7 linked regions of the Mus musculus genome follow. The protein of the gene in region 3 interacts with the protein of the main gene of each other region in a biochemical or structural test. Links are inferred from orthologs where the notes say so. Each region holds a gene or a part of one and is shown on either strand. Other genes may lie near its edges. The genes, in order: Nedd4l, Mapt, Snca, Sncaip, Siah2, Vamp2 and Fyn.

What was found.
Region 1: of the proteins of Snca (region 3) and Nedd4l, one has a biochemical effect on the other in vitro, tested with the Homo sapiens proteins (3 studies listed by BioGRID). The link is inferred for Mus musculus from reciprocal best matches to the Homo sapiens genes SNCA and NEDD4L.
Region 2: the proteins of Snca (region 3) and Mapt form a complex in vitro, tested with the Homo sapiens proteins (3 studies listed by BioGRID and IntAct). The link is inferred for Mus musculus from reciprocal best matches to the Homo sapiens genes SNCA and MAPT.
Region 4: the proteins of Snca (region 3) and Sncaip form a complex in vitro, tested with the Homo sapiens proteins (3 studies listed by BioGRID and IntAct, with this or other methods). The link is inferred for Mus musculus from reciprocal best matches to the Homo sapiens genes SNCA and SNCAIP.
Region 5: of the proteins of Snca (region 3) and Siah2, one has a biochemical effect on the other in vitro, tested with the Homo sapiens proteins (4 studies listed by BioGRID). The link is inferred for Mus musculus from reciprocal best matches to the Homo sapiens genes SNCA and SIAH2.
Region 6: the proteins of Snca (region 3) and Vamp2 form a complex in vitro, tested with the Homo sapiens proteins (3 studies listed by BioGRID and IntAct). The link is inferred for Mus musculus from reciprocal best matches to the Homo sapiens genes SNCA and VAMP2.
Region 7: of the proteins of Snca (region 3) and Fyn, one has a biochemical effect on the other in vitro, tested with the Homo sapiens proteins (3 studies listed by BioGRID). The link is inferred for Mus musculus from reciprocal best matches to the Homo sapiens genes SNCA and FYN.

The regions. Positions count from the first base shown.
Region 1 is NC_000084.6:65,191,659-65,195,263, forward strand, and holds part of Nedd4l (E3 ubiquitin-protein ligase NEDD4-like), read left to right. Parts: intron 1-1,417; coding exon 1,418-1,647; intron 1,648-3,401; coding exon 3,402-3,523; intron 3,524-3,605. UniProt on the Homo sapiens protein: E3 ubiquitin-protein ligase that mediates the polyubiquitination of lysine and cysteine residues on target proteins and is thereby implicated in the regulation of various signaling pathways including autophagy, innate immunity or DNA repair.
Region 2 is NC_000077.6:104,229,857-104,234,261, forward strand, and holds the start of Mapt (microtubule-associated protein tau), read left to right. Parts: upstream 1-1,579; 5' UTR 1,580-1,751; intron 1,752-4,405. UniProt on the Homo sapiens protein: Promotes microtubule assembly and stability, and might be involved in the establishment and maintenance of neuronal polarity.
Region 3 is NC_000072.6:60,826,107-60,830,403, reverse strand, and holds the start of Snca (alpha-synuclein), read left to right. Parts: upstream 1-1,399; 5' UTR 1,400-1,680; intron 1,681-2,776; 5' UTR 2,777-2,802; coding exon 2,803-2,923; intron 2,924-4,297. UniProt on the Homo sapiens protein: Neuronal protein that plays several roles in synaptic activity such as regulation of synaptic vesicle trafficking and subsequent neurotransmitter release.
Region 4 is NC_000084.6:52,766,857-52,770,963, forward strand, and holds the start of Sncaip (synphilin-1), read left to right. Parts: upstream 1-1,236; 5' UTR 1,237-1,281; exon of another isoform or gene 1,282-2,202; intron 2,203-4,107. UniProt on the Homo sapiens protein: Isoform 2 inhibits the ubiquitin ligase activity of SIAH1 and inhibits proteasomal degradation of target proteins. Isoform 2 inhibits autoubiquitination and proteasomal degradation of SIAH1, and thereby increases cellular levels of SIAH.
Region 5 is NC_000069.6:58,689,511-58,693,668, reverse strand, and holds the start of Siah2 (E3 ubiquitin-protein ligase SIAH2), read left to right. Parts: upstream 1-1,280; 5' UTR 1,281-1,853; coding exon 1,854-2,273; intron 2,274-4,158. UniProt on the Homo sapiens protein: E3 ubiquitin-protein ligase that mediates ubiquitination and subsequent proteasomal degradation of target proteins.
Region 6 is NC_000077.6:69,087,278-69,091,356, reverse strand, and holds the start of Vamp2 (vesicle-associated membrane protein 2), read right to left. Parts: upstream 2,830-4,079; 5' UTR 2,732-2,829; coding exon 2,730-2,731; intron 2,252-2,729; coding exon 2,131-2,251; intron 1,627-2,130; coding exon 1,468-1,626; intron 1,382-1,467; coding exon 1,330-1,381; intron 708-1,329; coding exon 691-707; 3' UTR 1-690. UniProt on the Homo sapiens protein: Involved in the targeting and/or fusion of transport vesicles to their target membrane. Major SNARE protein of synaptic vesicles which mediates fusion of synaptic vesicles to release neurotransmitters.
Region 7 is NC_000076.6:39,561,773-39,565,960, reverse strand, and holds the end of Fyn (tyrosine-protein kinase Fyn), read right to left. Parts: intron 2,198-4,188; coding exon 1,989-2,197; 3' UTR 580-1,988; downstream 1-579. UniProt on the Homo sapiens protein: Non-receptor tyrosine-protein kinase that plays a role in many biological processes including regulation of cell growth and survival, cell adhesion, integrin-mediated signaling, cytoskeletal remodeling, cell motility, immune response and axon guidance.

The sequences.
Region 1 (3,605 bases), on a different chromosome or scaffold from region 3:
AATGATAAGTGAAGACTAGCCCAGTGTTACATTATCAAATCACCGCAAGGGCAATTTCTCATGTGATACATTAGACAATCATATGATTCTTGCGGATTAGAAAAGAAGACCAAAGTCAAGAAATCTAGGGACACCACATGGAATTACACCTCTTTATGTCTGAGATGGCAATTTTAACCATATAACTAACATACATATTTTAACAAGGTATATTTTTACAACACATAATTATATTACTTGGTAGAGTTGAGCCCAAGTGTGATTATCATCATCATCAACAACAACATTTTACAACCAAGAGACGCTGGAAGGTTTATACAGACAGTGCTGAGTTGACAACCTGTGCTTATTGTTGGCATGCCTCCCCACCCCCAACCTTGCGTCTTCTGTGTTCATTACCTGCAGTATGGATCTTAGTTTTGCTCTCATTTTGCCCAGAAAATTGATGCCTTTAGCCAAAGAAAGTATGAGCCCCAATATAATTCTTTCTTTGCGTGAGACTGCCACCCTCTGTCTGCTCCCTCCCAGTTGATGTTCTAGGTCTGAGCTTTGTCCTGTGGTAAAGAAGTACTGGTCACTTCTATGCTCACTCAGAATCTGTCTTCTGTCCCATGGTTGTGACTCAAGTTCTTCATTTATAACCAAAGAGTTTTTGTCCTCGAAGCTCACATTGGCACTTACAGTAGTGTTTCTTTGTGAGTTATCCTTGTGTCCTCCAGTGACGAGCAGCTCCGTGGCTATTGTCCTTGTAAGCAAGCCTAGCCTGGACCTCATCCTTCCTTGCAGAAGGCTGTCTGCACACCTCACTCACGTGCTGGGTTACATTCAGTCGACTCTGGGTTCATGGATGTTTTACCCAAACTTAGTAGGATGCTGGCCCCCACCCTCCACCATAGCACCATGAACTTGCAGGCAGCATGCCTTGCATCTCCCCACTGCAGTTCCTACCAGAGAAGACCGGTTCCAGCTTGCCTGGAGGTTATAAAGGGTTGATTACATGGGATTAAGTCTTCTCTCTTTCTTTGACTGAACCAGCATTCCAAGGTGCCTGTGTGGGGGAAGTGCCCTTGTCTCCATAGTGGTAAGGATGAGGTTTTGGGCTCAGTAGGTGTTCCCCTGAAGATTATGTGGGTGATTCAGCCTGAGCAGCTCTGAATGGCTACTTCGCTGTGTCCCATCTTGACACAGGGAGGTTCTCCCTCTGTGAAAGGACAAACCTATAAAGGGGAGACTCTTGGGAGCCAGCTGTCACTGCACATTTATCTGAAGGCCATCATTGCTTCTGCTCTTTGGCTATTTTCCTGGAAGGCAGGAGCGTGCGCGCATGTGTGTGCATGTGCGTGCGTGCGTGCGTGCGTGCGTGTGTGTGTGTGGTGTATCATATGATCATAAACTTGTCTTTTTATCTTTTATCTAGGCTGATATTCCAAACAGGTTTGAAATGAAACTTCACAGAAACAACATATTTGAAGAGTCCTATCGGAGGATCATGTCTGTAAAGAGACCTGACGTCCTAAAGGCTAGGCTGTGGATTGAGTTTGAATCAGAGAAAGGCCTGGACTATGGGGGCGTGGCCAGAGAATGGTTCTTCTTACTGTCCAAAGAGATGTTTAACCCCTACTATGGCCTCTTCGAGTACTCTGCCACGTAAGTGCATGGAAGACATTTGCGCTGTGTGCCCTTCCCTGCAGCTGGTATAGTTTTCTTCTTAAGGAACTTAACATAACATAACATAAGACAAGAAACTCACCCATTTGAGATTTCAGTCCCTCCCTACCCTACCACCCTAACAAGTCTAAAAACAAGTTCTGATCCAACATGGCGAAGCACTGTACACTGTGAACGCCTGAAACTGATTCTTCTCTTGTCAGTTTGGCTCACAGAACTGAAACTGAAATTATGTCAGGTGATTATAGAGGGAGCAAGGCAGTTTTCAGCTATAGTGCCATTCTGATATAAGGGAAAGGTTTGTTAGTGCCAGAATTCAGAGGCATATGACCACGAATCATTCCTGAAGTCACACTACTTAAAAGGCAAGTCATGAGGATTTGAAGACCCATGCTTGGGATACAAAGGCCAATGCCCTGCTCCCATAGTAGAAGGACCAGGCTTTGCCTTCCATGGGGATTCATCATTGCCTGGCAAGGGAACTGAGGCAGGCTAAATTGTTTTCTCAGCAAACATTTGGCTCCTATTGTCTCCAGGCTGAGAATGCTCGAGAGCACGAGGCCGATCTTGAATTCCCAATAGAACAGTTGATCTTGGCAAAAGATTTAGCATTGTTCCAGAGTAGACTTCAGTTGATGTGGCTTCTCCTACACCTTCCTCCTGGTACCTGTATGCTTAGGGCTCTTTTAGAAGGCTGCCTCGGGACAGTCTCCAGTTGACCTAGCCTTGATTAGTGAGGTTCTTAGGGAGGCTTCTGAGAGAATCTACTCGTAACACCACTGAGGTAGAAAGAGGAGGAGCCAAGGTCCTGACCTCTCCCTACATCTCCTAGATACCCCCCCATCACTCTATGCTGCCTGGTTGAAAGCCCCTCATCCTCATGATTGTAAGGCCGACAGGGACCCCTGAGTGTGCTCCGGGGGTTGCATTGTGGACATGGGGCTTTCCCCAGAGCTCTTGAGGTCAGGTAAACCAAGAGACGAACGAACCTTTAGGGGAAAATTCCCAGATCAAAAGCCTCTCAGAGGAATTAACTTTTGCTCACAGAAACCATCTACAGCAGAGCTTGTGTGCTGGAAGATCTCTGCACACCCCTTACCACTGGGAGGGTTCCCTTCTTCTCAAGATATCTGGTTGACCCACTTGAAATTGACATTGTGTATGTGTCTGTATGTATGTGCATGTGTGCATTTGTAGGTGCAAATGCACTTGCATACGCGTACATATGAGGGCCAAAGGACAACCACAGGCATCCTCACCTTGTTTTCAAGACAGTCTCTCACTGGCCTGGAACTTGCCAGAAAGCTAGGCAGCCAGAAAGCCTCCAGGGACCCATCTGTTTCAACTTCCTGAGCCCTGGAATTGCAAATGTGAGCTGTCACACCCAGCTTTTAAAAAATGGTGTCCTGAGGATCAAACCAAAAGCCCCAGGTTTGCAAGGCAACTGCTTTATGACTGAACAGCCATCCCTAAAACTGACATTTCTGTAGATAAAAGTTAGCTGACTGAAAGCAGTTTCCATAGCTTTACCTGCTCCAGTGAACCGTAACTGTCAATTACAGAAAGGCGTGGCTGACTGATGGGTTACATTCCCTAGTTCATATCGGTTGCCACGAAGTCCCCAAGGTTGCCCATGCACTATAAAATGAAGCAATGGGTAGCAAAGGGGAGTTCAGCTTCTTGGATTTCTTTCATTTAAGTATGACTGGACTTTTCTCTTTTCCTCCCCAAAGGGACAACTACACACTTCAGATCAATCCCAACTCAGGCCTCTGTAATGAAGACCATTTGTCCTATTTCACCTTCATTGGAAGAGTTGCTGGCCTAGCGGTGTTTCATGGGAAACTCTTAGATGGTATGTTACTCCAAAATCTTGTGGTAATGAAAGTAAGGCAGCTCTGTTTGTGGGTCTGCAATCTTGTGGGTCTGCAGTCCAG
Region 2 (4,405 bases), on a different chromosome or scaffold from region 3:
ACTTGTATACATAAAATAAATAAGTAATTCTTTTAAAAAGAAAGTAAAAAGAAATTAGCCCCATTTGCGTCATTCCAGAATAATTCAGTAATTAAGCTCATATGGGAAAAAATGTTTGTGGTGCTAGAAAACTGAACCCAAAGTTATCTCAAAATTTTATTTTGGGGGCTGGAGAGGTGGCTCAGGGGTTAAGAGCACTGACTGCTCTTCTGAAGGTCCTGAGTTCAGATCCCAGCAACCACATGGTGGCTCACAACCATCCACCCCCCCAGCCCAGAAGTGTGTTTGTTTGTTTGTTTGTTGACTCACTTTCACCCTGTAATACAATTCAGGCTGGCTTGGATTCTGCTATATAGCCCAGGCTGATCTTGAACAAGTCTCAGCCTATCTGAATGCTGGGATTACAGATGTGAGCCAACACACCGAGCAGGTACAACGTTGGAGTTTTAGAAACAACTGCTGGGATAGCAGTGCACACCTTTAATCTCAGCACTCTAGAGGCAGAGGCAGGCAGGGGATCTCTGTGAGCTCCAAGCCAGCCAGGGCAACATAGTGAGAACCTGCCTTGAAAAATAAAGAAAAAACGGCATGCAAATGAAAGCTTCAAGACAAGTTTTCGCCTCTTTGGCAAGAAGTAGGTGCCTGTCTCTCTTCCTTGCATTTGAACAGGCTCCAGCTGTCCAAGAGAATTGAGCTTTGGGGAGGTAAGATATTAAGCTAAAGCCACAGCCCACGCCTACGTAGCTGGAAGGAGAACTAATGACCAATTTCAACCGGAAGCTTGACATCCAGCAGGTGGCCATCTCCAGCAGGCACCTTAAAAATTCAGCTCTCACGCTGTACAAAGGTGTTTCAATAAACGAGATAAAAATAACTCTGTGAAAATGCCTTGCAGTGTGTGTGGTAAGCATCATTAGAACTTACCTATTTAAAGATTTTTCTTCGCTAGGGTCACAGTCAAGATACCTAATGGGTTTGAATGCTCCTTGATTTAAAAACAATTGTTTTTCCACGAAAACGCTAAAGTGTATTACGGTCAAGTTAATCTGTTTCGAGAAGATTTGTCAAGGAAATCATTCACTTTGGCCATTAACAAAAACAGGTGGAAAGAAAGCAAGCGAACAGCTGGCCCTGGAAATAGAAAGTGCGCTCTATCTGGAGGGCCACATTTTAGGAGACTCGGGGAGCCTGTAGCACTTGGGGTTCACGGTGTACCGCCTGGAGAGCCAGCGAGGGTGAACTGAAAAGCGGACGATGACCGACACACCGCTCTGCCTGGACCCCGCGGGGACCGAGGGAGGGGACCCCTGGACTAGACAAAGGCTGCAGCCCCGGGAGGCCGGGTGCGCGTGCGCCACGGAATGCGCGTGCGCGCGGCGGTCAGCACCGCGGCCCGAGGCGTGGCGGGACCCGGGGAGGGAAGCGCGGAGAGGGGCGAGCCGAGCGGCGCGGAGAGAGGAGGGTTGAGGGGCGCTCGCGTGCGCCCCCTAGCGGTCGGAAGGGGAGGTGCCCGCCCAGGCCTCGCTGCCCGCCCCTCCCCTAGGGAGGTTCGCGCTCCCGTGGCTCGCGCCTGCGCTGCCCGCCGGCCTCCAGAACGCGCTTTCTCGGCCGCGCGCGCTCTCAGTCTCCGCCACCCACCAGCTCCAGCACCAGCAGCAGCGCCGCCGCCACCGCCCACCTTCTGCCGCCGCCGCCACAACCACCTTCTCCTCCGCTGTCCTCTTCTGTCCTCGCCTTCTGTCGATTATCAGGTAAGCGCCGCAGCTCTGAAATCCAGTCCCCTCTGGCCCTGTGCGCCGTCCTCCTGCCACCCCTCGCCCCAGAGATGGATTTAGGGAGCTGGGCATCAATCAGGCGCAACGGCGGGGGCCTCTCTGCGCCCTAGGCGCTGGGGAGCTGGGAAGGAACGCGTGCAAGAGATGCACGCACGCGAGCGAATGCGTGTATCTATGAGTGCTGGGGTCCCCACTATCGGCTCCGCGCAAATGAGGGGGGCTGTGCCCGCAGGGTGGGGCGCGGATGACGGTGACCTAGGGAAGGGGTTGTTCTGTAATCTGGATCTCAGCCTTTTGCCGCAATGGGCGTGGGTCTGTGAGTGTGCATGGGGGTCCAACGACGACCCCCGAAACAGAACCTGAAATCGGATTTCTCTGCTCCTGATTGCCATCAGCCCTAAGGAAGGTGTGGATCGGGTTCTAGAAAAGATGACTGCCTTCATGTCTCTCCACCTCCCTGACAGCGATTCTGACACGGCCTTCACTGGCCCTGATTTAAGGCGGTGGCCCGCCCCCTCCCCTTTTCCTCCTTCAGAAGCCGGCAGGGGACATTTGGGGGCTGGGAGGAATCCGGAGGATGGGGAGGGGTCCAGGCGCTGTCACGTTAGTCGCCCTTCCCCCTGCGCGCGCTTGGTACAGTGACAGGGGCAGCGCCGTGCCCGAGAGAAGGTAGTGCGCGGATCCCAATGTGGGAGCTCGAAGAGTCAGGGGTCACCTGGCCTCGCGGTGTCAGCGGGCTGGCTGGCAGCGGCTCCCCGCTCGAGGGCGCGCAGCGTTGCAGCCAGGCACAGACCCACGCGAGGGCTGCAGGTGCATTTCGGGGCGCGTTTCTTTCTCTGCGTTCTGCGCCGGGCTCCCGGCATGTGCGCTCCCTGCCGGAGGCGCGGGCTGGCGCGCAGGGCTCGCCCCTCACTGCGGCAGTGGGTGTGGACCTGGGTGGGCGAGGAGGGGGGAGTACGATGTGTCTCCTCCCGCTGCCACCCCTCTCCGTTTTTTCCCCCCTCTCTGAACGCGAGGTGCCATCTTTTTGCGGCGAGTCACGTCTCTATCGTAGCATGCCAAGAGCTGTGGCCAGGCTTTGGAGGACCCGGCTTGGACCCATGTTAAAGAACAGGGGGTGATGAACACGGAAGCCTTGGCGTTTTGCCTCTGCAGCGGTGCGCACCAGAGCGTTCACCTGAGGTCGTCTAGGGGAGCTCGCTGCTTTGTTCGTCGTGTGATTTAGGATCTGCGCTCCCAGCCCTGGTTTTTTGGGGGAGTGTGCGGGGGGAGGCGGGAAGCTTTCATTCGACGAGGATATTTGCCTACGCACTCGGAGCAGCTCCATCCTTTTTTCGCCACTCTTTTCAGACCCTTTGTTGGATCTACAGACTTGCGGCAGCCCACTCCCCAGTTCGACCCAGAGCCACATGGGTGGGATTCGAGATAGACTCTCGTGTGCAGGAGCCCTCAGAGGAAGCACATCCCTCCCCACACCCAGGCCATCCTGAGGACCACACCCCACTTGTGTTTCACTGCTAGGGGAGCCAGATAACCCTCGGGAATGGGGAGATTCGGCAAGCTCAACTCCGCATCCCCACCACCACCACCACCGTTGAACCCTGTTGCCTCTCCCGGTGGGAGAGTGTGAGGAGAGGGTATGAGATCCCCTGGGATACTGCGGCCACACCCATCCCTCCCAACCCAAGGAGAGAGGGTTAAGGGTTGCCATAGGAACCACACCAGCCAGAGGAGGAACCTCTGGGCGTTACCTCACCCCCTACCTCCCACCCCCTACCTCCCACCCCCCCCCTTACTCCGCGGAGATTTAGAATCCTGGGGTAGTCTGATAGTGCCTGGAAGACACGAGGAAGGGGCCCCTCATCCCTGATGCGAGCATCATTCTCTTGGCACTGGCAACCATAGCCATCCAGAGAGAGAGAGAGAGAGATGCCTCTAATGTATTTTATTATAAGCGTGCTGACTGATATTATTTTATTAATATCATTTAAATGAGGGACTTTCATTTTTAAAAAAATCCACATCTACAACAGCCCTTGAAACCAGAGAGGGATAGAAAGCTAAGAGGTCCCAGCCTCCCCACCGTACAGTAAGCTCGGTCTTCGAGGTTTTCTGGTTAATTTTACCGCTGAATACTGGTGCGGGTAAGCAGTTTTGAGACCGATGGATGAGCTTCTTAAGGGCCGAATTGCCCACGTCGACTGCTCACTCAGATTGATGTAGGCTGGGGGTGGAACGCCCTCTCCCGATCAAACCGCGGCCTGAGGCTGTGGCATCGTGGCCGGGCCCGCCTGGCAGAAATTTCGCGAGCATCTGAAAGATAGGTTCAAATACTACCCATCCCTCGCCACACGACGGGCTGCTGGGAACAGGATTCTTAAGCTAGAAGAAGCCAGGCTCTTGGGCTGGATGCGGAAAGGGGAAGGCTGGGAGGGGGGGCTGACTATAGCGGGCCCGTTGGGCAAAGGTGTCACAGCGGAAAAATCAGCGGGAGGGGGAGGAGACAGAACGTTTTACCCAGTGCAGAAACAAAGCTCAGATCACAGCGTCTTCGAACTCCCATTTTGCACTGTGTTGAGGGGTCGAGTGAGGTACTGTGCTGGCCAAGGCCCGTGTTGTTAATTAAAGAT
Region 3 (4,297 bases):
ACGTGGCCACATTGAATTACTCCCATTTCTAGTATTTCACTATTTATATGTCACTTTACCTGGCTGGTTGAGGACAGGTGTCCTAACTTGGCAGGATGGGGATGCTAGAGCCCAGGATCTAACCCTATCTACTGCAGAGGTGCCACCTTTTCCTTTAATTTCAAGTAAACATGGTATGTGCCACTAGTGTGTAGGAAGGTTGATTTTTAAAGGGAATAAGAATTGAAGGCGTTGCTTAAACAGTTAATTTCTGTCACATTACTTGTACTCTGCATTTGTGGTTTTATCTGCCTCCTTCCTTTATAGCATGCCAAACAAGCTGCTTGTCCCTTGTTTCAAATGCTTTTTTAGACTTCAATTTATTTATTTATTTATTTATTTATTTATTTATTTTTCAGGATTCAGAAGTCAACTGACTTCAAGGATCAGAGAAAGCATTCCCTCCTACGACCCCCCCCCCCTTTTAATACAGTAAACGCTTGATTTAGCTTCCAGTGCCCAACACAAGTTCAGAATACAAGAAAGGAAAAGCAAGGCACTCTGCTGGGGGAGGAGCTTGGCACTCAAATCCACTCTGCTATAAAACAGTGGTATTCTGCTCATCTCAGAGAGAAGTGGGAACGTGTTAAGTAACACAGAAATTGTCTCAAAGCCTGTGCATCTATCTGCGCGTGTGCTTGGATTGGAAGAAGAGTCTGTTCGCTGGAGCTCCACGCAGCCAGAAGTCGGAAAGGTAAGAGGTGTGCAAAATCTGCCATTAAGTAGGGACTAAGGAAGAAACTGCCTGTGATGGTCCCAGAGGGTGAATCCCACAGCCGCTACCTTCCTATCCTGTAACTCTATAGTAAGCCACTTTCTCAAGTGCAAAAAAGCCTTGAGGCAGCTGGTTTTCGACGGTTGGGGGATATTTATTCCTTGCTCCACAGATGGGGAAAAAAAAATCAGCGTCTGGCAGCCGCTGATTGGTGGAAAAGAAAATGGTGATAGTGGAGTGGGAATGAGGATTTGCTGAGCCTCCCCCTGCTTCTTCGACCTGTAACTCTTCCTTAGTCGGCTCCCCTTTGCACCCAGAACCCTTTTAGACTCCTCCGGGGTAAAAACAAATGGAAATCTTAAGCTGTGTGAACAAAAGCAACCCCAAGGGTGTGTGCTCCCTCTCCATTGCCTGGCTCCGCACACAGACCATTTCAGGCGGTCCAGCTCTCTGGTGTGGCATCTGGGCTCGTCCTGGAGGAGGGGGTCGCCTAGAGGAACTGGGAACAGACTGAGGCAGGGAAGGAGGGGGGTGGGGCAGGAGAGGCGCCAGCTCAAGTTCAGCCACGATAAAACTGAGGGCCCTCTGAACTCGAGGGGAGGCTCAGGCCGTCCTCTCTTCCTTCCATCCGGGGGAATGTGCTCCAGATACCCACAGCCCTCACGCACCGCACCTCCAACCAACCCGTCCCCTCCCTAGGAAGAGGAGCGAAGGCACGAGGCAGGCGAGGGGCGGGGAGAGGCGCTGACAAATCAGCTGCGGGGGCGACGTGAAGGAGCCAGGGAGCCAGAGCGCCCGGCAGCAGGCAGCAGACGGCAGGAGACCAGCAGGTGTTCCCCCTGCCCCTGCCTGCCCTTGCCTCTTTCATTGAAATTAGATTGGGGAAAACAGGAAGAATCGGAGTTCTTCAGAAGCCTAGGGAGCCGGTAAGTACCTGTAGATGGGGCAGCTCTGGGGATCTTAGCTAGCCGGAGCAAAGAGCCGGGACGCCTAGAGAAGACCAACTACAGCTGCTTTGGCGGTGGGGACTGGGCCAGTGCGTGGAAAGTACATCACTCGGCTTTCCTTTCGCTGGAGACATGCCCTTCCATCCTGTCAAAGCCCGAGGGAAAGGCCAGGTTGCCTGTGGCATCTGCTTTTTCAAGCGGAAACGCTAGGGTGTTTCATGTTGAGTGCTGGATGGTGGAAGCTTAGTGCTGGGCATTGGGTGGAATTTGAGCATCCAACTTTCATGCTCCAACCCCAGGCATTTCAGCTTCTTTCTGTAGAGGAAGAAGGGTGCCTTTGGCCCATGATTAATAGAAGTGCAGAGGACAGTAGGCAACAGGTGATAAAGGGTTAATGAGCATGGGGTGCAGGGTCTTCTAGAGGATTCCAGCTGAGGACAGAGCTTCTTGGTTGGGTGGTGCTCAAGTGAGACTGCTCAAGTGTATGGACAGCGCCTGCTCTGGGCAGATAGCAGGCAAAGAGCTAGTGGTGGGCAGAAGGTCTTGCAAGATTAGAAAGGCTGGGCTTCAAGCAGTTCCCTACTTCTAGATTAAACAGTTCCCCTCCCTTCCTTCTCCAAAGACTGACTCCTCTCTGGGTCTTTTATCCTCTTGCCCCCACTCCATCTCTGTACGCCCACCTCCCATGTTCCTTTTCTAGATAGTCTTTTTACTTTGAATGTAACCTTTGGGCCCTGGGAACTTGATGGGGTAGAGGATGCCCACCTCCCCTTCTGCAACTCTTCTTCTGAAATATGTATGTAAGAGCAGTCGAATGATCAAACTAGATCCATCCCATCCTTAAGTGACATGACTTTTTCCTAGTATTGAGTGACATAACTCAACAATCAATCAACACTGTGCCCAGCACCCCCACATCCCCCCACCCAAGAAATCACACTTACACCAGGACTTGGGGGAAGGCATACTGATTTTTCCCCCTCAATTTCCTTTCTTTCTCTAGCTGTTTTAAACCTTATTATTATTATTTTTTTACCCAAATTTTCTAATTCAAAATGTATTCTGTATTCTCTAGTGTGGAGCAAAAATACATCTTTAGCCATGGATGTGTTCATGAAAGGACTTTCAAAGGCCAAGGAGGGAGTTGTGGCTGCTGCTGAGAAAACCAAGCAGGGTGTGGCAGAGGCAGCTGGAAAGACAAAAGAGGGAGTCCTCTATGTAGGTAGGTAGTGACACTGTGACTAATGAATTGGGGTGGCTGGTGTGTGGTGTCTGATTCGTGTGCATCACAGCTTCTCAGAAGAGTGACAGCTGTGTGGAGGTGAGAGAATATGAACCTGCATATTAGCTCTCAGAAACAAACAGGGACAATGTTTTCTGTCCTTAGATTCATTAATCTTGTTATTTATGTAGGTTTTTTATTTGGTTTTCTGTTTCTGTGTATGAATACACTGAATTTTAAAAATTGGCAACCCATGAAAAATAACCAAGAATATGCTTATGAATCAAAGACATGTATGGCAGTAAGCCTGGTGGCATTTGGGAAGTGGAGGCCCAAGGACCAGGAGTTGATGGTCATCTTCAGCTACACAGAGAATTTGATGCCAGCCTGAACTATGTGAGAACACACACACACACACACACACACACACACACACACTCACACTCTCTCTCTCTCTCTCTCTCTCTCTCTCTCTCTCTCACACACACACACACTCACACACACACACAATACACACACACACACTCTCTCTTACACACACACATACACACATACACACATACACACACACACATACACACACACACACACTCACACACACACACAAAGAAATAAAGAAATAAAGGAAGGAAGGAAGGAAGGAAGAAAGAAAGAAAGAAAGAGAAAGAAAGAAAGAAAGAAAGAAAGAAAGAAAGAAAGAAAGAAAGAAAGTGAGCCACAAGTACTCATGGGACTTTGATTTCTTTCATCATCACTATAGGTAATACCTGCTAAGTTTAATAAATTATAAAGCTTTAAACAATAGTTTTGCATAATTTTATTTTACAACTGTGAAAATACAACTCCTTTGACCCTCAAATAGAAGAAAGAAAGCAAGTCTTCTTTGGTGGATCTCCTTTTAGGGATCACTTGGTCAGTGGGAACAGCGGGACTTAAGGAACTTCAGAAATGTTTGTTTAGTTCACCTGTCAGAGATCATACATGCTGAACAGTAAGAGGTTGATATTTAGTGCCATTTTCTGCCTGACTGTACACATTGAAAGGAAGGCCAACACTCCCTTTCTCTGTCTTTCCCTGTGTTAAATTGGCTGTAACTTTACAAATCCCTTCTAGTACTTTCATGGAAGGAATAGACACCCATGCACACATGCTTATCCCCAGCAGAGACACAGGTGCACATGGGAGCACAGTTGCAGGGTTCATCTACCTCTCTTTCCTCCTGTGAACACTGTTTCCACCTTCTTAGGAGGGCATCTCTCTTGGTGGAAGACTCAGGGTAAACATTCAGGCTGAAAAGGAGCAGAACAGGTGGCAAAAGTGATGCAGATGCTACCCAGAGTACCAATCGGGGGAAGCCATGCTGACCCTCCAAAC
Region 4 (4,107 bases), on a different chromosome or scaffold from region 3:
GCTGTATGATATATGCTTGGCTGTTTAGTCAAAAAGCTGGGGAAGAAATTTAGTCTTAGAGTAGGGAGGAGGATTAAAACTGTCTTCTGGTGACATTCAAGGCTGTCATTTCTAGGGGTGCCATTTACTTATGGTAGGTCTTCCAGGTAGAATTCCAGATGTGTGCAGGACAAGGACTGCTCTGATTGTCTTTACTACTAAAATCAAATTATGTATCTCATAAGAACGACTTACGGCTTCACTCTAATTACTCAGGGCAACCTAGCTTTTAAACCCCCGGGCCCTTCTTTCTTACTGGCAGTGTATTTTCTGTGACAGGCAGGCATACATCCCTCTGCCAGCACCCAGGTAGTATTGGATTTCCCTGTATCTCTCACAGCCATTCCCACCCTGGCTGAAAGGGGCAGGGGTGGGGGGTGGGCAAGATGACCCTAATTTGACCAGAACTCAGTCCTTCCTTCCTTCCTTCTGACAACCTCTAGCAAGCAGGTAACAAGAATGAAGCCCATGATGGCTTTCCTTTGACACACTCCAAATCTTGTCCCACTCCTGGGACAGAGATTTGTCCAAAGTCATTTAAAGCTGTCCAAGGGGGCAACAGAGAGCCAATGTTGCTATCAAAGCGTCTGTTCTCTCTGGATTTTGTTTCGGAAATAGGAAAGAGGCGGTCACCCACCGCTTGCAGGCATCACTGATGCCCCTACCATAAGGAATGCTAGGAGTAAAGTTACTATTATCACAGGGTCCTGGGTACACTGCTGAATTAACCAACTGTCATTTCAGACCCAAATCTCTAGCGCCACCCACCCAGGAGCACAAAACATTCTGGGTAAAAATCCCCCAGCCCTGCCCCTTTACATCCTTGGCTAAGTCTTTCAGGGTGGGCTAGACTTGGAAGAGGGGAAGGTTGGGGGTTGATGACGACGCGGTGCCAAGGCACAGCACTCTGGCCAAAACACTTCTCAGACACAACAGTTTTCCCAGGGCCGTGTTCCACCTTCCTTTTTCTCCGAGTATCGTTTCCCGGTTTTATGCTGGAACCTTGGAATGGTTTGGGGACCAATGAGGTGGCAGCGGTTGATTCATGGATCGCGGTGAGGGAAGATTTCATTTCCAAGGAGGAAAGAGCGCGCGGGGGGCGGGCGGGGGGGGGGTGCTGGAGAGGCAGCAAAGCCAGAGGGGAGGCGGGGGAGAAAGTGGGAAGAAGGGGCCAAAAGTGGGAGGGGAGGAGGGGAGAGAGCCTGCGGGGAAGAGCCAAGGCGGCGGAGGTGAACGCGCGAGGTAAGCAGAAGCAGCAGGTTCGCTGGCCGGGGACACCAGGGGAAGGCGGCTGCTGCTGAGGGGCGTGGGCTGGGCCGGGACGCAGGGGGACGGTCACTGTCGGTCCTGCCTGGTGGTTGCGTCCCTGAGCTCAGCGTCCCGCCGCCCCGGGTGTCCCCGCCCGCGCGCGCCCGTTGGGGGGCCCGGGGTGCGGCGCCGGCCGCCCGGCCGCATTGTGACGTAGCGGGGCCGCGGCAGCGCCTCCGCCGCCCGCCGGGTCTCCTGCGCCCGCCGCTCTCGCCGTCTGTCCGTCCATCCCTCCCGCCGTCCTCCCGCGCTCCGGTGAGTCCAGGTCCCAACCGCGGGCGCCGCAGGGAGGAGAGGGACGAGGGCAGCCCGTGCAACTTTGCACCGGGCGACACCCTGAGGGTTTTCGGGACCCCGGGGGCCCCCTTTGTGCCTCGGGTCCCTTCTGCTCGGGGCCGCGCGGTGCCGCTGCAGAGAGCTACAAGAGGAGAACGTTGTGGTAACCCAGGCAGCTTCACCCCGGGGGACCCAAGTCGCTCCCGCCTCGCAATCCCTGGCTCTGGTGCAGGGGATTGTTCTTTTCATTGGCCCTTGCGCTGGCGTTACGCTTGCTGCTACCTCGGATGGTCCCGGAGGCGTGGATGGGTTGTGCCAAGGCTCCTAGGAGCTGCCAGGGAGGGGCGAAGGCATGGTGATAGCTACACTAGTAACCAGAACAATAACAAACGTGAAGGGGATGCCGGGTGGTGTCGCTACCCGAGGAGAGCCCCTGGCCCATCATCCCCGAGACGCCTAGGCTGCCCCGTCCAGCCTCGGCTCCTCCTCCCGGCGCTGTCCGGCGTCCCGGGATTGTCCATGTCTTAGGGAAGGCTTCTTTCTGACCCTCTCAGTGGCGGTGACTTTCGTCTGCAGGTGGTAAGTAGGGATGAAGCCAACGTTGGCTATTGTCAAATGCCACGTTTTGTTTATTTCATTTTTTTTTTCTCGAAAAGAAAGGGGAGAATATTCTGAACCAGTTCTGGCAGCCATACAGTTTCCACAGGAAATACTAGCATTCTTTGAGGAACACGCTACTGCTTGCAGCAAAGAAAGTCTTCAGGAGACAAAAAGGCAACTGCATTGTTGCTCATTTCCAACTAGCCGCTAGGAGGGTGGAAACAGTGTTGTTTTTTCCTGCGGGAACATTGCTTTCCTTGGGAAAGTTAATTAAGGAAGCATTGCTGGCTGTGCCCTTTTTTTCACTTGCTGGAAGTGGGATGCCACTCCTCCTGGTTATTACTGACAAGTGTCCATCTAATAGCCCCTGGGAAGAAAGAGCCACCAACCACCGCAACAGTCTCCCCACACACCACGTGCTGTGGAGCTCGGCCAGGGCACAGTTTGCAAAATGAAATAAGGACTATCTTGGGAGATTTATGGGGATTACATTCGCGCAGACGTCAGTTCTCCAAGGTGTCAACTCTAAACACATTATGGTCAGGCATCATTTCGGCGCTGAATCTGCAAGCAGGCAAAAAAAAAAAAAATTCTCATTATGAAGCAGACATCTCAGTTGGGAATAAGTTCAAATCTGTATTTCATTTGTACACATTGAAAAATTCAAAAGTCAAGAGAGCAAGATTGTAGAAAGGCCCATATGCTAATGTGTGCACACCTGGGAGGCAGTGTCTATTGGCTGATTCTGATGTGACTTGATATTAAATTACTTCCTACATAGCAAAATGCAGGGAGATACCTTTAAACTGTCCTTACAACTAATAGAAGAATGTGTGACATTTGGGGGCTGATCACAGAAGTCTCTTTCTCAGGGAACATTAACCAAGTATTGCCCATAATGGAATAACTCGAGTTTCCAGGTCTAGATCAGAAAGTAAATGATGGCACTTCTCTTAAGAGTCATAGAACATCACTAATGTTAGTAATGCTGCTAAAAGGGAGGTTTATAAAGAGGTTTTATCAGTTTGAACATAACCTTTATCATCCCTCAGAGGTTCGTGAAGAGAGTTTACAAGACAGTACATCTGAAATGGTACTGCATTCGCTAATTCGATGTTTCTATTTGTCCGTGTCTGAAAGGAAGTGACTAAGGTCCGTGGATTTCTGTGTGCCATGTCACAGCTTTGCTGAGTCCAAGCAGCTGTTCAGTGCAGGTGTGCAGTGGAAACAGGGAATAGAAGCCAAAATCGTTGGGAGCACGGTTGTTTTGGAAGGACTTGGAGGGACTTCACTGTGCCTAGGAGGAGGGAAGCCCACAAAAACATCTAAAACATACAAATGCTCTTTGATATCATCAGAGAAAGCCCGGAGCCATGTTTCTTGCCAGATTTAGCTTGTTTCTTGTGAAAAGAAGAAATCTCCCAAAGTAGCAGGTGCATCATTAGAAGAAACACAAGGGACTTTCTCTCTTAAATGCAAAATCTAATTGAAGAGCCACAAGAGGATCCTGTGACACTCTTAGAGAAAGAGCCTAGTTTTTGGCACTCTTTCAGGTTACAGATGCAAATCCCATAGGAGAAATGTGTGTCTTCGGAGACAAATAATAGGTGGCGAGAATCAAATAGTTGCTTCTGTGAAACAGGAACCTGTATATGCTTATTTACTTTTGCTCTTTGACTTATATGCAAATTCACTTGCAGAGTAAAATTTCCTGAAATGAATACATAATTTGGTCTCTTAGCTAAACACTATGCATTATTTTCCAGTTAGTTGATAATAGACTTTATATTCTATGGTTGGCAGCTTGAATCTTTTATTAAACCTTTAAAATTAATGACCAAAGCTGGACCCAGTGACAGGTGGGGCACAGGAGGAAAATTACGA
Region 5 (4,158 bases), on a different chromosome or scaffold from region 3:
GAGCCAGGAAGGTGGCTCAGGAGGGTAGTGGTGCCTGCATCAAGCCTGCCAACTTGAGAAAGTCGACTCCCACAAACCTGTCCTCTGACCTCCACGTGTGCACACAAGACAGTCACAAACTAAGTCAGGATATTAAAAAGAATTTCGCTCGAAGTCACAGGGCACTATTTTACCCTATCCTGACTAATCTCTGTTTTCCTACAAAGAGTATCAATACTAGCTTTTTCCAATTCCAGTGTCATCAGTTCAGGCATAAAACGCTTGCCATAGCAATTGTGTGCAGGGTATGTCCATTATACGGTTCACTCCAAACTCTCAGGCGCTCTCTAATTCTGGGGTTCTGAATGGTGAAGAGTACCTGGAAATAAGTTTTACTGAGACTAGGGGAACCCTCGGAGAGTTCTCTTATTGCTAGACCGGAAGGTAGGCTGTAGATGTCCCCTGTCCCACCCCCACCACACTTAAGGTTTATTTTTATTTATGGGCATGTGTGTATATAATGTGTACTGGTACCAAATGGTATCAGATCCCCTGGAGCTGGGGTTACAGGCAGTTGTGGGTGCTGGGGACCAAAGTCTGGTCCTCTAAGAGTAGTATGTTGAGGCGTCCCTCCAGCTCCCGTGGGTGCCTTTTACACCTCTAAGATGGGGATCTTAGAGACTTTCCATATGTCGGGTGTACAAAGACAACTCAGGAAGAATCCAGCACCAATCCTGTCAAGCTGAGGGTTGGTAAGGGGTAGGTTGACCTCACCCATTTCCTTCTTCCCAAAGCCCCAGGTAAGTAAGCTAAAAGCCTAAGGTTTGGACCAGGACTAGACGTTAAGGACTCAGGCACCAGAGGGTCTCCTGTCATTTGGGGCCTCACAAACCCAACCCACGTGTATGGTATTCCTTGGAGGTTTTAATTCTCCATCGAGTCAGAGTTGTCAAAGAGGTTCAGGTTCTCTCAATCAGAGGCGGCCAATTCCAAGAAGCTTTCGCCAGTGGGCTTTCGAAGGAAAACCTAGCGTTAAGGTCCCAACCACTGAAGAGCCCACCCTCGTACCTAACTGCCGGGCCACACCCGAGGCCTTCGCGCGGCTCCCGCCCGACTCCGGGTCCCGCCCCCGCGTGTCAAGCTACCGGCCGAGTAGCCTGATCGCCAGCTGCTCCAGCGCGTCAATGGCTAAAAGAAACGTGGGATTCCGAGCCCCGCCCCCCGCCCCGCCCAGCCCCGCCCCGCCCCCGGCGCACTCGCGCGCCCTCCACGCCCACGCCGGGCCAGCAGTTGCCCTTCTAGCTGGAGTCGGTGCGGGTCGGCGTAGGTCCCCTGGGAAGGGTCGGGAGACTCGGGCTACGTCCTTTCCCTGGGCTGCCGGCTTCCACTGTCGCAGAGAAGCGACCCCACGCGGCGGCGATCGACTCATTCAAGGGCTCCCAGCGAGGAAACCGCTCGGGCGCTGCCAGCTGGGTCGGGCGGAGCTGCGCGGGCCGCAGGGTGGCTCTGCCAGTCCCTGAGTGCCGGGTCGGCCGCACACGTGTCTTAGCGTCACGTCCGCGCGCGCCCCCGGGGCTTGCGTCAGCTGCCGCTCCTGAAGCGAGTGGGCCAGGGCTCTGCGCACCAGAACGCCGCCGGAGGAGGGCACCGCACGGCCGCGAGCCCCGAGAGCGACGACCATCCGGGTGCCGCCGAGAGGATCGGCGCGGTCCGGTCCCCGCCCTCCCGGTGCCGGTCGGGTCCGCGCTGGGTCCCCCGGGCTGGGCGCCGTGGCGTTGCCCCGGAGCCCGCCACCCGCGGGGCGCGCACCGCCTTAACCCGGGCGGCCCCGCGGCAGGCAGACGCCCGCAGGTCCATGGTGGGCTCGGAGCGCGATGAGCCGCCCGTCCTCCACCGGCCCCAGCGCTAACAAACCCTGCAGCAAGCAGCCGCCGCCGCCTCAGACCCCGCACGCCCCGTCCCCGGCTGCGCCCCCGGCCGCCGCCACCATCTCGGCAGCGGGCCCCGGCTCGTCCGCGGTGCCCGCCGCGGCAGCGGTGATCTCAGGCCCCGGAGCCGGCGGCGGGGCCGACCCGGTGTCCCCGCAGCACCACGAGCTGACCTCGCTCTTCGAGTGCCCGGTCTGCTTTGACTATGTCCTGCCCCCCATTCTGCAGTGCCAGGCCGGGCACCTGGTGTGTAACCAATGCCGCCAGAAGTTAAGCTGCTGCCCGACGTGCAGGGGCGCCCTAACGCCCAGCATCAGGAACCTGGCTATGGAGAAGGTCGCCTCGGCAGTTCTGTTTCCCTGTAAGGTAAGTCCAGCCACCATCCGCAGATCTGCCAAGGAACCTTCCAGAGTTCCGGTGCCCTCCAGCGCACTTGAAGGCCCTAAGAGGCGAATGGCATTTCACTGTTTCCATCTGTCTGTCTGTCTTTCTCCTCTCCTCTCTCTCTCTCTCTCTCTCTCTCTCTCTCTCTGTCTGTCTCTCTCTCTCTCCTCCCTCTCTCTCTCTCTCTCTCTCTCTCTCTCTCTCTCTCTCTCTCTCTCTCTCTCTCTCTCTCTCTCTCTCTCTCTGGCGCACTCTCTCTGTCTCCGGTGTGTACGTGTGTGTACCTTGTCTATTGTTTCCAGGCCAACCTGTCCATTTTGGGAACTAGCAACTAGGGTTGACGTTTGCCGGAGCACTGACTGTAGATAAGTTGGCACTTGATGACGGTTTAGAAGCATCCCAGCTCTCCCAGCCAAGTGCCGCCGCGTCCACCGCAGGGGTGTGCTCTATAAAGCCTGGGCAGCTTAATGTGAACAGGGAAGCTGGCAGTGGAGATTGTGGAGGAAGGAAGCGGACGGTTTCCAGCGCTGAGCTTGGCGAGAACGGTCCTGGATTCCTCCTGGACCCAGTGCCCAAGATCTGGAGCACTTGAGAGAGCGCTTTGTAAGGGGAAGCGGATACTGCCTGCTTAGCACGGGAGCCCAGAAAACCCAGCAAGCCACGCCTTCTCTCAGCTTCCCAGACTTGCGGAGGACTCAGAAGTTGTAGCTGCTGTTTGGTTTTTGTTTTGGTTTGTTTGTTTGACTAACTGCGATGAACTCGAGTCCACAAGGACTCAACGCAGACACTTAAGAGCGTTATTAGTTCTCTCTCCAGTGACAGCATTTTATTTAGTTGCCTGTGCTGGGGGGTGGGGTGGGGTGGGCAAACCACAAGTCAAAGTCCGAGCTCTCATTCCCATGGCTCCAATGGTTTGTTTAGGACCTGTGTTTACATCCTCACGGCTAAATTAATGGAATCATGCATGTCTATATCTGAAAGCTTCTTTTTTTTAATACTCACAGAGATAGTGTTTTTTTTTTCCTCTGCCAACCAGGTTTACTAATAATATCCTCACCTGAAACTTGACTTGATCTCCTGTATTTTAAATGACTGATAGCATTACATTGTGTGGTTCTGCTATAACATCCTGTTGCCAACACTGAAACCCTTACAAAACTCCCCACAGTCTCATTTATATGCCTCTTTCTAACCTAGACCTCTGTCAAGGAGTTCATTTTCTGAACTTATAGGTGGGAATAATGTTAATATTTCTGAGATTTTTTTTAATGAAAGTAATTGTTCTACCTGAGACTGTTTTGTCTTGCCTATCTCCTTAGTGATTAATTTTTAGGGCAAGAGCTGTTTTAAATTAAAAATAGCTCACTGGAAATTTTCGTTTTAGGCTTCATAGTCAAGTCAGTAAAATGAGTGAGTTACTTTGGCCTTCTGCCCAGCTACAAACCCAATTAAAATAGCTTATTCAAATAAGGGTTTAGGCTATAGGGTCAGCTTATTAACTTGCTTGCCTTTAGCCCCACCCCAGGTCCTGCTTACTAATTCACTCAACTCAGGTGCTGCATCTGGGCAATTCGGATAAAATAGTTTCATGCCGCCCCCTTTTATTGGAAGCAGATTTTCCCCCTCCTATAATACAACCTGATTATAATTTCCCCTCCCTCTGCTCCTCCCAGTTCCTTCCCACCTCCCCTTGCATTCTGATCCCCCTTTCTGTCTCTCATTAGAAAAGAATAAGCTTCTAAGGAATGGTAACGATAAGGAAAGGAGCCAGAGAAGGCACAGCCAGAGACCCACTTGTTCTCCCATTCTGGAAGCCGTAATATACACCCAGAGGACCCTGTGCATGCTGTGTGTCAGCATCTGTCCT
Region 6 (4,079 bases), on a different chromosome or scaffold from region 3:
AGGACCAATGGAGACTGACTCTTCCGAAAAGAAAGAAAGAAAAAACACAGAAGAGTGAAGAGTGATGGATCAGAAAGGAAACAAAAAACTAACAAACAAAACAAAATGAAACAGACAGCGTATGCAAATGATATGCTAATCAACATGTTGGAAGCTCCCAGAAAATCTTGGGATTCTTAGGACCAAGTGGAACCAGTCTCAGAGCCTCCCAAGGGATACAAAGATGCAGCCTAGGGAAGCCTAGACAGGTGGGGTGTTCTGTTTGTTTCTGTGGGGTTTGCTTTTGTTTTGGGAGGGCCTGGGATTGTACAGGGAAGATAAGGGAAAGATCGGTTAAATCCAAGGGAAGGAGGAGAGGGGCTATTGCATAGCAGATGCAAATGAAGGGACTTGGGGCTGATCAGGAAAGAGGAAAAGGGACAGAGGGTGAGAGAGAGGTGATGGGAACCTCAGGAAGGGGTGTTAAGGACAACCGGAAAAAATCTTCTAGTAATAAAACTACAAACAGACCAAATATATATAATATTATATATGTATAAATAACAGCTGGCTATTTACAGGGGGCACACACACGGACACACACACACACACGGATCCAAGGGAGGGGGCTGAAAGATATGGCTGAGAGGTGGAGGAACGGCTGGGGGTGGGGGAGAGGCCCTTCTTAGGCAGGGCAGACTCCTCAGGGATTTAAGTGCTGAAGTAAACTGTGGAGAGAGGGCAAGAGGAGGACGAGGGAGAGGGGGAGAAAGGAGGACGAGGAGAGGGGGAGAAAGAGAAAGAAAGCAGTGTGTCAGGCCTGGCCCTGTTCCAAGCCTCCCCACTCCCCCACTGGCTGACATCCCTTCCCTCTCAGCCTCAGTTTCTTCAAAGGGACTTGGCAAGTGGGTATTGAGGTCCCTTAAACTCCACGGCTGGACAAAGGGGCATAAAACCTTTAATGCACTGGGTATGTGACGGTAGCTTTCAAACAGTGGAGTAAGTGGTATCCTGGTGGTTGGTGTTCGAGACCTCACCCTTTCCTGTCTCCTACTCCCGTTTTAGAATCCCCAGATGGAGCTTTTAGGCTCAAAGGGTTCCTAGACGAACACCAGGACCCCACCCGGTATTCCTAGTCCCAAAATCTTAACCGGATTGACCCATAACCAGGGAAAGCAGGGCTATACAACACTCAAGTTTTGGGCTCTAAATGAGTCAGAACTGCCAATAGCAGCAAAGTGTGTTTTGGTTGCAGAGTAAAAACTAGGTTAGTGACCTTCAAAGCCCAGGCTCCCCAGGGAAAGCCTCTACCTCCCCAGGGGAGGGGCCCTGGCCTCTGGCCCCACTCACCGATGATGATGATGAGGATGATGGCGCAGATCACTCCCAAGATGATCATCATCTAAGAGTGAGAGGGAGGTGAATGACACAGTGACACCCTACTTCCCCACTGCCCCTCCCAACCTGTCCCCATCTCCTCCCCTTTACCTTGAGGTTTTTCCACCAGTATTTGCGCTTGAGCTTGGCTGCACTTGTTTCAAACTGGGAGGCCCCTGCCTGGAGGGCATCTGCACGGTCATCCAGCTCCGACAACTTCTGGTCCCGCTCCAGGACCTTGTCCACATTCACCCTCATGATGTCCACCACCTGAGGGAGGGGTCCACGAGGCAGGGGGGTGTGCCAAGGCATGCCTCAAGGAGGGCACTTCTTGAACATGTGCCCATCGTGGCACAAGTGGAACATGCACCCCGATGTTTCCAGGCTAACATGCCAAGGACATACACAGAACATGCCTAGCACACCTAGGGGACATGCAAGGAGCACACATCAGGGTCATGCCGCTACCATAGCGCTCAGATGTCTCAGCAACACCCTCTATCTATAGGGCCTGGATCCGCCTATCACCAGAGCACACCTGCCCCAGCTGGCACACCCCAGGCTAGCTCAACTGATTCATCCTGCAGCCCTTCCAAGTGCATGCTAACAGGGAGACAGAAAGGGGATGAGGCAGGTCTCCGACCAAACCCACAAGCATAAACTGTCTTTACCTTCAACCCAAGATGGGCTCCCACACCTATTTGCCAGCCCATCATCTTGCATCTTTGACATACATAGACATAGACACAGACACAGACACACACACACACTCACCTCATCCACCTGGGCCTGGGTCTGCTGCAGTCTCCTGTTACTAGTAAGGTTTGGAGGAGGTGCAGGGGGGCCACCCTCGCCGGCCGGGGCGGCAGGCGGGACGGTGGCAGCGGTAGCCGACCTAAGGAAGAGAAACGGATTAAGACTCGAGGCCTGAAGCCTCTGGCCCTACGGCCGGGGCTCCACCCATCCACCTGTCCATCCACAGTCCCTCCAGTCCTCTCTTGCGCGAGAAGGCCACCCGATGGGAGACAGTCACTCTAAGGTTGAGCTGCGTGACCTTGAGAGACCCTCCTCATGCCTCAATTTCCCCTCTGGTTAAATGAGGGCGACCTCGTAGATGCTGCCCGGGGTCGACCCGAAATGACTGACGGCCATAGTGACAGGGGCGGGGCGGAGGGTGGACGCTGGGTCTGCTCCCTCCGGCAGCCATCGCCCGTGCCAGACCGCCAGGGACCCGGTTCCCGGCATCCGCCCGCAGTCATGGGCACCAGCCTGGCCCGCGGCGGGACCCCCGTGTTTCCCGGTCCACTCCTTGGGGTGGCGGCCCGCAAGGGGCAGAACATCCGCGGGTGGCGAGTGGCAGGCGGCTGACTTACATGGCGGGGGTAGCGGGCAGTGGACTTGGCAGAGGCAGTGACGGCGACGGCGGCGGCGGCGGCTCGCGCTGGCTCCGACTGGCGCTGGCTACCCGGGACTGGAAGATGGCGGCCGCACGTCACCCGCATCCGGGTACTGCGGCGTGGGCGGGGCGCGGCAGGCGACACGTCGCAAGCGGACCGCGGGGGCGGGGCGCTGCAGGGCCGGGGGTCGCCTAGTTGGGTCTGGCTGTGGGGCCAGCTCGCCAACCCACTGCCGCCCCCAAGGCACCTGCCTCTTTTGGCACCCACAACCGAAATCCATACAGCCCCACCCCCCAATACATCCTCCCTTATCTTTGAAGAGGATACACCGGTCCTTATGCCATATAGCCCAACGTCTCATCCTACGACCTGGTCCCAACACCTGGTCTATGGGTTGAGGGTGAAAAAATGAGAAGCGACCAAGGCAGGCGCCAGAGCAATACTGATAACTGGAATTCTGACGCTGGAGTGGAGGGGAATCGTGAGGACTAATCTCACCCATCACCCTGCAAGTGAATGTCTCAAGGGAGGACTGAGGCTTCTGATTTCCTAGCTGGGTCAGGGCAAAAGGAGTAACAGAAGCATACACACACACACACACACACACACACACACACACACAGAGAGAGAGAGAGAGAGAGAGAGAGAGAGAGAGAGAGAGAGAGAGAGAGAAACTGCCCATCCTTACAGATGAAGTTCTCACCAGGTGTACTACTTGGCAGGTAAAGCCCAAGCAGGCCCCAAAAAGATTAGACAAGCTAGAGACTCCAGGAAGGGCCCAGACTGTCTGGTGATACCACAGGCTGGATCCCGTCTGGGGTCAACTGCCCCCCTCAGCTTTGACTCTAGCATAGAGCCTGGGCTGAAAAGAGACAGTAGACAAGGGTGGCACCTGAAGTACTTTGGTTATAGGCACAACTTTACATGTGGACTAATCCCACACACGTGACCTTGACAGAACCAGCTGCCTCTCCCTGCACCTTAAACACTAAGCATATCATGTATGGAGACACTCAATATTTGTCAAATGGCTTGATCTAGATAACACAATAGGATATTCTCTTAGGCCTGGTCCATTCCTGATTGCTCCATTTTAAGTACACTAAACAGCCAAGGCAGCTGTACACACTCCCATCCTGCATCTAGGGAGAGAAAGAACCGGGGAGCAGCTGTCTATTTAGTAAGCCTCCAGGGTGAAGGAGGCATTTTAGGGGAGGACCTACTGATGTGGGAGTACTCATTACATCCCTGAGAGAGCCTTATTCTCAGAGACAGGCAGGGTCTGGCTTTCCTCCTCCTCCCACTCCCGGGCTTCCCAGGGCCTCC
Region 7 (4,188 bases), on a different chromosome or scaffold from region 3:
ACAATGAAAGATTTTCCTCCTTATATGGCTCCATATGACACGGTGGACTTAGAGTTGTAAGAAGGCAGGGCTGCCAGAGGCTGGGAGAGCATCTTGTCTGTACTTTGTCTCCAGACACACTGGCCTGCAGGGGAGGTTCGGAGTTCTGCAGGGAACCATGGTAGATCCAGGCCTGGATGGCTACCCAGTCCCCCCTCCCCCTCTCCCCCATACCACATGGTCACATGCTTAGCAACTTCATTTTAGAAGTAGGATACTTGGAAATGTATTTATGACTTGAGACCAAGAAAGACTACTGTCTCCTGTACAAATAGGACACGGTGAATTCCAGCGAGAGACAGTGCGGGATACACTATGGCGCTCAAGTACGCCCAGTTTTGCTTTAGCCACTCTGAGTTAGCCAGATAACTGCTTTGCCTTTTGGTGGGGAGGGTCTCCAGATGCTCTGCATGTTTCTGTCGTTTGGAAATCGCTGCACAGTGGCCCGATTTACCAGGTGCTTCCTCACCATCTGGGACGGGCCAGGTATGTCACAGAACGCCTAGGGTACCTTCTGTGGTGTACACAAATAAACAAAAATTTTTTTTTCAAATGTAAAATGCTCTCTTTTTAATTACTAAATTAGGAAAGTTAAACAATTTAAAAATGTAAACTCACAAGTAAATCATTAACAAAAAAAAGGAATTAAGACTTCAGAATTGCTAGTCAGTATTAAAAAACTCAATAGAAATAGGAATTGATTTGTTGTTAAACATACGTAATTCGAGGTTGGTACAAACAGCAACTAAAAATGTAATACTTTTTTTTTTTTGTGCACCCCCATGAAATGTAAAGTAGTGCATAGTTATTCACTGGAGCACTCCTGACACGGAGAGTCACTCATTAGCAGTACAGGACAGTAAAACACTTATTTTACAATGGGACGTGTACAACCCCCCACCCTTGCCTTCCCATAATTTTTAGTTGCATGAGAAAGTTTAGTAGGTTGCCATGACTACAATGCTATGGGTTTAGACCATTTAAATGTGGTTACAAGATTTATTAAATAAAAGGAAAACACCTGAACCCTTCAGCATTCATATTTATACAGGAAGTTTGTGTGGTCTCCGTCTTGCAGCTCTTGTGGTAGAACTGGCTGGCTGCTTTTTGCTTAAAATGCTCACTCCTAAGTTTCAAGAACGAATCACAGTTCGCTGGAGCAAAAACTGGCACTAAAACTCGTGACTAGGCCCTGGGACCTGAAAAAAGTCACATGAACAATCTATAGGTATGATTAGGAACCAAAAAAGTGCAGTCCAAATGGAGAGGACGTCATGCTTCGTAGAAGTCAAAAAATGAGGCCACCGGCTTGCAGGCTGACACCAGTGCTTTGCTGGCAGGGTTCTGCAGTAATCCCCACTCCGGTCCTGTAGCTATGTGGCCTACGCTGGCCAGTCTCCATGGTAGCACCCACATGGTGTATGTACAGGAACATATGTTAACATATATATCATATGTATAAAAAAGGGAAAAAAAACCCAAACACCTGTCCTGATCATTTTTTGTTAAAACATGAAAAAAAATTTTATTGTTTTAGACAAAGAGGCCACTTTTGGAAAATAATACTTTTTTTTTTTTAGTTGAATCAGGTGAAGACAGAGTTAAAATCACATAGGATTTGCTTTTTCTTTTTTAAAAAAGGAAAGCACTGGGATTGTTGGCACAGGAGCAGCTATTTACACTGAACAGAGGTTTGGCCTTTGACATAACATCGATACAATGCATTTCCAAGTCTGAGAAATAACACGCTTCTGTCTCAGATGGTTCACAGAGGAGGTTCGGACTGGGGGACAAGTGTCATTAATGAGGGCCGTGGAAGTTCAGCTTCAGAGTCACATGCAATCTGATCCTGGACGGTTCTCGCTGCTCTGGGGCAGCTGGCTACAGAATTGGAAGCTAATGGGGAGGGGTAGGGAGGCCTCGGGAAGAGGCGTCTGAAGCGCAGGCTCTCACAGGTTTTCACCGGGCTGATACTGGGGCTCTGTGGCCGTAAAGTAGTCCTCCAGGAAGCCCTGCAAGTACTCGAAGGTCGGGCGCTCTTCCGGATCCTTTTTCCAGCAGTGGATCATGAGCTCGTGCAGGGAGATCGGGCAGTCCTGTGGGCAGGGCATCCTATAGCCTCTCTCCACCTGCTCCAGCACCTCCCGGTTGTTCATGCCTGCGAAGACAGGGGCCAGTGAGAATGGGCACGTGGCTAAGGTTAAAGCATAAGGAGGCCGTCCTCCCTCTCAGGAGGGGAACCATGCCTGTAATAGGCTATCACAGCACGAAGGAGTGGAACAAAGGAATGGAGAACTCATAGATGCAAAAGCCCAGACAGTGACTCTCAAAGCACTACACGTGAAAGAAGCCAGACACAAGAGGCAGCGCACTGTACGATTTCACCTGGATGAGACCCTAGAAAGGCCAGAGACTGCATGATAGAAACCAGATCAGAGGTTGCTGCGCACGGATGGGGGTTGGGGTTGGGGTGGGGGCCACGGGTGAAAGGGCAGAGGGAGCTGAGAGGTGACAGAAGCCATGGTTGAATGCCCATGTTTTTCCTGTGAAAGGCCAACAGCAAATATTTTGTTTGTGTGGGCTACATGCAAGCTCTGTCTTATTTCTGTCACTGAAACAGTTTAAAACAAAGCCAGGTTGGGAGCCATGCTCTGCCATGAGAAATAACTCAGGCTGCAGTCCATGACCCCAGTGTAGTTAGTCCGTGTGAACAATCAAATTTCACTAGTCAAAACTCATGGGAGTATACTTTTAAATTAACCTTTGTTATGTGTAAATTATACTCACTAGGAAAGGTAAAACACAGGACTAGGGGAAGGGGCTTAATGTTGCTAGAATGTTGCTTAGAGTTGCAAAGTACCCAAGTTCAATTCTCAGCATGCATTCATACTAGGCGGCCTGTCATTCCAGTTCCAGAGCAACTGACACCTCTGGTTTCAGGAGATACTGGTACATACGTGCACATATCCTCACACAATTAACAAGAAACATAATTAAAAAGGAATCTTCGGGAGATGGAAAGATGACTCAGTCTTCCAAAGGACCCAGGTTCAAATCCCAGCACCCACATGGCAGTTAGTTCAACTGCCTGTAGTTCCAGTTCCAGAGGACCTGACACCCCCACAGAGACAGACATGGAGGCAGAACACCAATGTAAAGTTAAAGAAATTAAAAAAGAAATGTTTGTATGACTAAAGCACACAAACACCCTGTAGAATAAAAGCAACAGGTCTTCTATGTGCAGAGCTACAGTGAATGTCACAGTTTTCCTCATGCTTAGGCATGGCGTCTGAGGTTTGCCTTCATGCCAGCAGGGCTTGGCACCATCTGGCCTGGTGACCCTCACAGTGCTCTGAGGTTTGGGAACTGTGACAGGGAGGCAGGGTGTCTCTGGGGCCTTTGCTTATGAATGACAGCATCCGGCCATCTATCATCTGAGACCTCCCTGCCCCTCTGCAGGAGCTGCCTAATGCTGACATTCTCAGGCTGCAGAGCAGAAGGCATCATGGGAAGCTGAAGCAGGCATCACTCAGTGTGCTCCCTTCTCAGCTGCTTCCAGGTACTCTCTCCCTTGTCCGCCCACCCGCCTACCCTCCCTCCCTTTCCTCCCTTCCTTCTCCCTCTCTCTGCCAAGACCTTGTGAGCCTGACATCTAAAATCTTCCCTAACTCTTGACAGTTAGTTTACAGCAGCAAGAATCTGCTGTAATTTACAGCATGAGTCTCAGGGTTGTCACTAGTAAGGAATCGACATAATATTCAACACAGCCTTCTTTAATTCTGGGGGAGGTGACCACTGGGTCAGAACCTGTCACTTGGCCAGAGGTCACATTCCTGTTTCCCTCTGGAGGGAGCATCCAGGCTTCTGGGTTGCTCTCATCTTTGAAGCTGGACCTATCCTAGCTAGGTCTTCCTGGATGACAACTATTTCAGTCATCTGTTTGTCTAAGTCCTTGTAGGATGCTCTTTTATTCTCTGTACTTATAATTTCTGGTGGTGACAAAATTTAGCATTCCTTTGACTGTGTTTAAGTAGACCTTTAATATGACCAAATAATTTCACTCTAGCCAGGCAAGCCCCTTGCCTTGGGAGAATGCTGAGGCCAGTGTGGGAGTACCTTTTTCTGTTGGGTGTTCCCTGGAGCCAACGA